2 linked regions of the Chlamydomonas reinhardtii genome follow. The protein of the gene in region 2 binds, or shares a complex with, the protein of the main gene of each other region. Links are inferred from orthologs where the notes say so. Each region holds a gene or a part of one and is shown on either strand. Other genes may lie near its edges.

The links.
Region 1: CHLRE_12g540076v5 (region 2) and CHLRE_01g029450v5 share a complex: the UniProt entries of both Arabidopsis thaliana proteins name them as parts of the FACT complex. The link is inferred for Chlamydomonas reinhardtii from reciprocal best matches to the Arabidopsis thaliana genes SPT16 and HMG.

What each region holds. Positions count from the first base shown.
Region 1 is NC_057004.1:4,349,384-4,353,933, reverse strand, and holds the start of CHLRE_01g029450v5 (uncharacterized protein), read right to left. Parts: upstream 2,992-4,550; 5' UTR 2,780-2,991; coding exon 2,723-2,779; intron 2,629-2,722; coding exon 2,443-2,628; intron 1,937-2,442; coding exon 1,742-1,936; intron 1,399-1,741; coding exon 1,261-1,398; intron 941-1,260; coding exon 791-940; intron 227-790; coding exon 110-226; intron 1-109. Other genes in the region: CHLRE_01g029400v5 (uncharacterized protein), read right to left, coding at 4,180-4,550. UniProt on the Arabidopsis thaliana protein: Component of the FACT complex, a general chromatin factor that acts to reorganize nucleosomes. The FACT complex is involved in multiple processes that require DNA as a template such as mRNA elongation, DNA replication and DNA repair.
Region 2 is NC_057015.1:9,488,460-9,492,800, forward strand, and holds the start of CHLRE_12g540076v5 (uncharacterized protein), read right to left. Parts: upstream 2,882-4,341; 5' UTR 2,783-2,881; coding exon 2,714-2,782; intron 2,577-2,713; coding exon 2,450-2,576; intron 2,309-2,449; coding exon 2,252-2,308; intron 2,088-2,251; coding exon 1,984-2,087; intron 1,753-1,983; coding exon 1,567-1,752; intron 1,435-1,566; coding exon 1,347-1,434; intron 1,231-1,346; coding exon 1,166-1,230; intron 1,075-1,165; coding exon 1,018-1,074; intron 929-1,017; coding exon 844-928; intron 726-843; coding exon 538-725; intron 410-537; coding exon 182-409; intron 71-181; coding exon 1-70. Other genes in the region: CHLRE_12g540502v5 (uncharacterized protein), read left to right, coding at 3,190-3,243, 3,409-3,501, 3,586-3,660, 3,808-4,116. UniProt on the Arabidopsis thaliana protein: Component of the FACT complex, a general chromatin factor that acts to reorganize nucleosomes. The FACT complex is involved in multiple processes that require DNA as a template such as mRNA elongation, DNA replication and DNA repair.

The sequences.
Region 1 (4,550 bases), on a different chromosome or scaffold from region 2:
TGTTGACGGCATGCGCGCTGTTGCATGTGCCGCGAACCGGTTTGACCGGTGCAGCCCCGTTCGCCCGCTCTCGCTCTCTCCCGTCCTACTCCTTGCCCGCCACACGCACCTGGCCCTTGCGGATGGGCGGGTCCAGCGAGATGACCACCAGCGTGTGCGGCGTGTTGTGTTTGGGCAGGATGAAGATGCGCTGGATGGAGGCGTAGCGCACCTTGAAGTCTTGGGACTGCAGGGTTGTGAGGGGTGGCGGGATCGGAATCGTGATGGGATAGCGGGGGCGCATTTGTGGTGCGGTATGCGCAACAATGCCTTCCCGCGGCCCCCGGCATCCCGCCTGCACGCCCTGCTTGAACGTTGAAAATGCCCGTGCCGCTTCTCCCGCAACAAATGACGTTGACCCCTGCTCACGCTTTGCCGCGCAAAACACCTCGCATCCTAGCGCCCCCGAGACTTCCTGCCCCCTCCGCATGTCGCCACCTACTCCTCCGCCATTGCTGCTTCCCTTTTGCCCGCACCCCCGCCACCGCTCTACTGCTTCAGTCCCAACCTTGCAAACCCCCCCGCCATCTTCCCAACATTCCCATGCACGGCCTACACACGCAACCCCGATCTCCGACCCCAGCCCGGCACTCATCTTCCCCTCTCCCCTCCTCCCTCCTCCCTCCCCTCCTCCCCCCCTCCGCTTTCCTCCCTCCCTCCTCCCTCCTCCTTCCTCCCCCCTCCTCCCTCTTCCTCCCATCCTCCCTCCCTCCTCCCTACCCTGCCCTCCCTCCTCCCTCCTCCCCCTCACCTGTCCTCCCAGCTGCAGGTAGCCCAGGTGCATCTCCACTTCGAAGCGGCCGCGGGGCGCCACAATGCCCACCTCGCTGAACACACACACCGGCTCGTCCGCCGCCGCGGCCTCCGTGTCCGCGTGCGGCAGCAGCGCGTCCAGCATGACCTGGGGAGAGGAGGGAGGGAGGGAGGCGGGGCAATGCCGCTCGACATGCCTCCATGGCGTGTTGACAAATCCATAGGGCATCGCGCCCCGACAGGTGTAAGCATTTCCCCCGACTGCTGGCCGCCCGCCCAGCTGCCAATCATGCCCCCACACCCCCACACATACACCCCTCAAGTCGCTCTCACCCCCGGCATTGGCAATGGTTTACATTGGGATTGGAATAACCTAACCACCATCACCCCGTGCCATCCACCCCACCACACACTCACACACACGCCACCCCTCGCCCCCCACCCCCACCCCACACGGCCCGGCCCCACCTTGGCCGGGGGCACCTCCTCGCCCTGCGCCGGGAAGTCCTCATTGCCGGGCGGCACGTAGAAGGCCAGCTCCGTGAGCATGTCCTCCGCCACCTCGCCGCCCGTGTCGTCCACGTGCAGCTCAAGCATCACGTCGTCCTGCAGGTGAGGGGCGGAGCGGGGCGGGGCGCAGGGCGCAGGCTCAGACGCGTGAACGCCGCAGTTCGCTGCCCACCGACCCCTACGCTTTGCAACACACGCACGCGCGCGCTCACTCCCACGCACGCACATACACGCCCACCCACAACGCAGCCCGCTCTTTCCCGTCCCTGTGCTTTACACTACAACGTTCCGCAAACCCACACCACGGCCCATACGGCCATACACGGTCTTGGCATTCTCCTTTCCCATCTTCCTCTCCTCAGTTCCAACGCCCCACTCCTCCCCCCCTCTTCTCCCTCCCTCCCCTCCATCCACCCCACCCCACACGCCGCCCGCCCACCTTGGTCTGCTGCGCCGTGCACACGTCCGGTAGCGGCAGCTCGAACGCCACCTTGCCGCCCACCAGGAAGGCCAGGCTGGCGCCGCGCAGCTGCACGCCGCCCCAGTTGTGGCCGCTGGTGGACAGCGCGCCCTCGCTCACGCCCTCAGGCAGCGCCAGCGTGGTTCGGGAGTACTGCTGCAGCGTGTCCAGATCCTGAAGAGTGTGTTTGTGTGGTGGGGGGGGGGGCGCAGGGGGGTAGCTTATGCAGATGCCAACTAGCCCAAGGCCCGGGACCCAGCCCACAGGTCGCGGGAGTGGTTGCGTATTGTCAAGGAAGGGGAGCACCAAGTAGGGTAGATGAACCAAGCGGCGCAGGGAGGTGCAGAGGCGGTTGTGCAGTTGATACAGGGCAACAACGGACAAGGGAATACGGCTACTAAAGGAGCGGCGGGAGACAGGGAAGAAGGGGTGCAGCAGGCTGCCAAGTCCAAGCGGCGTGGTGCCAAGCGTCTCTGAAGCTGCCGGGCTGCCGACTACTCCCCATGGCGACTGAGCCAATTGGTGCACCACCGCACAGCTCATGCAGCTACCAGCTGTTGGGTTGCCGCCCCGCGTCGGTCCAGGCCCCGGCCGGCCGGCATTGCAGGCCCCGCGTGCCGGACCCGGCCAAGCCCCCTGCACCCGCTCGGCCCCCCGGCAGCGCCGTTAACGCAGCGCACCTTGTCCCTGAACCCCAGGAAGTTCACGGTGGGGCCGCCCTTTCGCCGAACGCTCAGCTGGCAGCCCCGCGGGACTTTAGTCCAGGACAAGGCTTCAATTTCGTCCTTCTTCACCTCAACCAGCTTGCTGCCCTGCTTCCGACGCCATGTCAGCCCGGTAGGAGCAAGCTTCAGGACTCCCGAAGCCTGCGAGTAGCAAACCGGATTGGGATTTCGCGTTGGCGCGCCAGTGCTCGCTCAAGTGCGCCGACGACAGCGCGCCAGTCTGAGCGCTGCTCACCACTCCACCGCGGCCACCAAGCCAGATCTCTCCGAACGCCTGCACGCCTTCGGCCATGGCTGCCGAGGAGGCGCGAGGGCCGCAAACTCAAATGCCAAAGATCGAGCTACGTCGGTCTAGCGTTGTTCCTGGAAAGGTTGGTTGATAGGATTACGTATATCTTCGTAATATAGAATGGCAAGCAGCGGGAGACCAGAGTTCGCCCTTGTTTGGCGCGCCAAGTGCCAACTCAAGCCTAGCTTTAGCAGAACTAGCCTAACGCGTGCCAATCTACAACAAGTTGCTAATTTGTATATTGCAATTTGCTTGTCGGCGGGCGGTCCTGTGCATCGGCGATGCCCATCGGCACGCCCACGCACCACGCACGGCACACGTCCAAAGGGCCCCCGCAAACATGCCATCTCTTGCACATGTTGCTGGCGTGTGCTAGCTCGGGTAATTCATGCGCACACGCAATCTGCTCCTACACCTGGGCCGTGCAGGCCAAGACAACTAGGCCAGTGCTGTGGCGCTGCTGCCAAGGTCCCGCCAGCGCCAGGGCTGCACGAAGCGGTTCACCCATCACGGCCGCCACGCAGCCTGCGCCACGTGCGCTTGCGGATGATACCGTCCAACCTGGGCCTTGTCACATGCAAAGTACGGACAAGTCCTACGCAATGCTGTCGTGTCAAGTGCAACCTCTCCATTCAGCCATGTGCAGGAGTGCAGGACTCCGGCGCCCCCGCTGCCCAGATTGCATTGGTTACAAGAGGGACCTGCTGACGCACTTCACGAGCCAGTGGCGTGGAGAACGAACACCCTGCTCTGGACCCCAGGGGCGTGCCGCCTGCGACGCCGTCGGCCTTCTCTAGCTCTAGTAGGCTCCCTGCCCAGCTGCCGAATCGAAATGCAATGCAAGGAAACGCCCACTCAGTGCCCGCCATGACGTGCAGCTGGTTCAGTCCAACGGAAACCCCGCGCTAGTCCGCGCTTCCAGCGGGCTCGCAAGTCCACCCAGTCCTGTGTTCCTCTCTGACCCGACGCATTGCTGCGCCCCATCACGACCCACATCTCGCCCATGCCATAAATGCTTCACCCTCACCCACAAACACGCACGCTCTTTCAATCTTTCAAAAAGGTTTAAGTCTGTCAGCATCTATGAATGGGGGCCCAGCCTCGCAGCTACCTGCACCCGGCCATGTGTCGCGTTGCAAGCCTTCTCGATGCGCGCACAAACAGCAACGCGGTCAACCCGTAGCTGCGTCTACATTCTGGGCTGTCTCTTCATATGCTCGCTCGCTCGGCCATACGTACACTCACTCAATGCAGTCCGCACGCGACCGCACACCAATGCCACCAAGCTCACCCGGACCACGCATGCATCCTCGCAAGAACTCCTGGAATCACGCCAAAACGGCAAACCTTCCACTCCCTAAACTCCAGTACAATGGCTCACACAATTATGGACATGTCCAGGACTACTGCGGCAGTGCCTGCTGCGGCTGCTGCATCGCTGCCAGCACCCGCTGCACCGCTATCTGCGCCGCCTGCTCCGCCGCCGCTCGAGCTACCTCCTCCAGCGCCGAGCGCTCCACCACCACTAGGCCCGGCGGCAATGACGCCTGCGCCAGCTGCGGCGAGGCCTGTCCGCCGCCGCCCCCTCCTGCACCCAGACTGCCGGAGGCGGCGCCGGACAGCGGCGGCCTGAGCGACGTCCCAACTCCCATCCCAGGAGCAGCGCCGCTAGACGAGCCCCGAGATGGCGCCTGCCTCCCGCTGCCGCTCCCGCTCCCGGCGCCACTCCCTCTGCTACCAGGGCCGTGACCGTCACCCATCGCCGCCGCAACCG
Region 2 (4,341 bases):
TCTTGGGGGCGGACTGAGTGGCAACCTCGTTTGGGCGATCGCCATCCACCACCACAATCGTGTCGGCGACCTGCATGACCGACGGGCGCATGCACAATGACGTGCACATCCACCGAAGTTCATGCGCAAGTACGGTCGGCCAGATTGCTGGCCAAGGCGTCATTGAAGCCCCAACCATCACCTGCAGGGCATAGTTCTTGGCCTTCGGGTCGCTGGCGTCCGCATTGGTCAGCCCCGCCACACCCAGGCACACGTTAAACACCATGCCAGCGCGCACACGTGGCGCGCCGTCCTCTCCCGCCGCGGCGGCCTTGCCTGAGCCCGGGAGTGGCAGCACGTGGGTGCCCTCCCGGAACTCCAGGCCCATGCCGAAGCCCACGTTGCGGGATAGCAGCGGAATCAACGCCTCCTGCAGAAGCAGTGAGCCATGTGGCATTGCATGCGGTCAGGTTGTCATGTCGCTCAAGTCCTGAGCTACGCCGCTGCAAGTTCAGCCCTAGACGGCGCTCAGAGCAGGGCTACGCGTAAGCCGCCTACCTGGCCGCCAGCCTTGAGCGAGTTAACCACCGCCTCGCCGGCGGCCGTCAGTGGAGCCCCAGGCTTCAGCGCGGTGATGGCTGCCTCCTGCGCCGCCAGCAGGGCGTTGTACTGCGCTGTCTGGTCCTTGGAGGGGTTGATGATGTAGGAGCGGCTAATGTTGGCGCAGTAGGAGGCGTAGCGGGTGCCTGCGTGCGCAGTGCAAGGAGTTGAGCGCTATTTATGCAGGTAAGTGTCATTCGTTTCTTTGTCCATTAATGCATCCCAAACTTCCCGAATGCATCCGCACATGCCTGCCGTCCTTACCAAGTGACACCACAATGACGCCGTCATCGTGCAATGGGCTGTCGTTGGAGGGCGCGCTCACACGCAGGTCGTATACGCCGCCCGACTGCAAGAAACGGCAAAGGCGGGTTTGCGGCCGCAAACCAGGGGGCATGCACCGCTGACCGCAAAACATGCCGCACTTGTCACACGCACCTGGAAACTGGGCGGGTAGGCAATGTCGCAGTTCTCGGCCTTCAGTTTCACTTGCACCTGCGCATGGGTATGCAGGCACAGCAGGGTGATACATATGGAGCAGGAAAGCGCGGCAACATAAGCACTCAGTCATGTTGCCCCCTCACACCTTGGTTGGGTCCGTGATGACCTCCTCGCACATCTCGCTGAGCTTGCTGTGCTTCATCTTCTTGCCTGCAGTCAGGCGAGTAATGCACTTAATCGAATCCTCTCGAGAGACAGCTTGCGTGCCTCCAGCATTGCACAACACTGTCTCCAACGCATGGCAGTGTCCCCAGCTCCCCACTCACCGGAGTCCACCACATCCTCCACCTTGGGCACCACCCAGTTCTGCACCGCCTTTGCTGCCAGCAGCGCCGCCTTCTTCACATTCAGAATCTGCGGACAGGTCAACCACCGTTAGCAGTGGGCGCAACGCGCGGTGCTAGCTGCAAACAGCTTCCCCAAACCCCGTTGTGCAAGCATCGTGTTCCCGACACATGATACCCGTGGCCACGTTAACAACCCCACCTCGTTGGCATCCTTGCACGCCAGCAGGTCCGCCACACCATTGTTGATGTCCACTTGCGTCAGGCCGCTTTCCGTCATCGCGCTGGTCCACACGTCAATCAACTTGCCCGTGTGCTTGTCCTTGGGCAGGTGGCCCACCACGGGGCTGCCGCTAGCGGTGCGGGCCGCGTCCAGCAGTTGGGTGCACTGCACCCATGACACACAGACCTACCCATTGATGCTGTGTTGTCGTGCGGCAGAACGCGCTCAATTTGCCAAGCAAGCATCTTATGTGCACTCCAAAGTCACACACTCATGTCGAAGGTTAGTATACTGCTGCACTCCAAAGTGCCGAGCCAACTATTCCACGCAACGAAGTTGTGATGTCCGGCTCTTGAAAGCCACGAAGTCGCCAGCGCCCGGCTATCAAGTACACACCTGGCCTGCTCCATCCTCCGCCTTTGGCTTGACGAGCACCTCCACGCGAACGTCCCCAGCCTCGCCCTTCTCGCAAGCCTCCACCACCGGTTGCAGCAGAGAGGCTATACGGACACCGGGAACAGCACATGAGCACCGTGAGGCTATCGCCCATAGCCCAGCACACATTTACAGACCATCCATTACATGCAACACCAAGCTTCATCCCCTGCACGCTCATGCAAGCTGCATCCTTCGGGACCCGACCAGCGGTGTCCGTGTTCCTTACCCTTCTTTTGGCTGGTCAGAACGTGCACGCGGTTATTCGTAAACAGCATGACCGTCTCTGCATAGGTACGGAATAATCCGGTTAGTGGCGTCTCGGCAAGCGCCAAGATGGTAACGGGCGGGGCCGACAGGCAGGCGCACAAGGGGCAACCCGCAAAACCCCTCACCCCGCCCCCGACACTGGACACTGCCGCCCCACCTGGCAGCTCATAGCCAAACAGCCACATATGCAATGAGTTTGACTTGAGGTACCGCAGGTCCTCTGATGGCGCGCCCACGGCCACCGCGAGTACGTTCGCGCCAGCCCAGACGCCATCTTGCTGAGTCTGCGCGGGCATGCCAACATTGCTCCATAGATCTATATCTGCTTGTACAATATTTCGCATGCTAATGAAGCATCCCTTCAATGACGAGTGCAAAGGGATCTCCGAGCAATTTTAAAATGCTGATAGCTCCTCCTCACCGTCCAGTTCTCATACAGCTTTTTAAGCCTCTTGCAGCAGTTGCCAACGTCAATCGCTACGTCGGCCATCGTGGCCGCGAAGAGCGGCCCCTGAAGAGCGCGCGAACGAGTCCTGCTATAGGATAAGGCAATGAGAGCCTAACCCAAAAGTCAGTATACGGTCGCGTTTAGACTGGGGCCTGGCAGTCCTGCGAGTTGGAGCATGCAGTTCCACAGCGGAACTGCTCCGCATGGCGCCCGACCGAAAGTTAGGGAACAGCGCGCACACCACACAAAGCCATTTTATGTAAATCGCATACATAAAGTACCAGCTTGCTGTATTAATACCCTCGCCGACAGCTGAGAACAGGCTCTGACTCTGAGCCTGCGAGGCCTCTCGCTCTGTCTTCCTAAATCTCGTTGAGTGATCAGACCAATACTTAATTCCCATGGTAGCTGCAGGGCCCTAGGGCTGTTGGGTAGTGTGCCAGCCCAGCATGGAGTCGATGCGGGCAGCCGCTGTCCGCGTTCTGCTCCACTGCTGCGCGCAGGTATGCGGACGCCAATGGAACTCCCTCCGTGGATCTGTACTGTGCGCTAAGAGCAGCACTAGACGCACCATCGTCTTGCCCTTGATCGAGTGGCATGTCCGCATGTGCGCGCGCGGCTTGCGCATGTGCGCGCGCGTTTAATGGAGCCGGCCGTCCCATTCGCAGGACCTTGAGCGCATCCTACGATGCAATGCACCTGGAGAGGAGCATTTGGCGTTGCCACTGTCTGCTATCGCGCTTGCCAACCATGAGCCAGAGGTGCGTTGGCAAGCGTGCGACGGCTGAGCAAGGGTGCCTGATATGGCATGGTGTACCTTTAACTGCAATCGCTGCCGCTTGCAGCTTGCAGCGGGTCTGTACGCTCGTCCTTTGGAGGTCTTAACACTGCTCGATGAGGCGACAATCCCTGCCCAGCTGGTTGGTATGGCTGACAACATGAACGCAGCGTTCGGCCCGGAGAGCACGGGGTATGAGAAGCTTGGGGGTGTGAGGCTGTGGGTGTGCCCTCCTCCTGAGTCGCAGTGCGCGCGCTTACCTTCAGATCTCTTGTTGTTAACTCTGCAGGAGATGAAGTCAGCCATTGAGCAGGGAATGGAGGGGCAGCAAGCAGCGGCAGCTGTGGGCGGCGGAGCAGGGCAGCTGCTTCCGGTGCAGTGCGCTCTGAACGTGTGCGACAACGTGCACGTGCGGCTGGTGTCGCTGCCCACCTCGCTGGACCCACACCCGAGTCCCATGCGACCGCCCTTAGCTCGCCTGGGCTGCTCGCAGCTGCACCAGCTGCTGTATGTGAACGGCACAGTTGTGCGAGGCGGCCCCGTCCGAGTTTGGGAAAGCATACAGTTCTTTGAGTGCTCCCGCTGTAAGGAGAAGTGAGTGAGCATGGGCCACCGCAGATCCCAGAGACAAGCGCTCCGTTGATAACTGACTAAATGGAAGGCGTGGCTGCGTGGCAGGTTCCCCCTCAAGTCTTCATTAAACGATGGCGGGGCCGTGGACATGCCTGACGCATGCCCATTGGCGGTAAGTTTGCGCTGCGTGACGCTCCCAGGCGGTTGTCCCACGTGCAAGAGCCACGGCACGTTGCCGCAAGGCTGAGTC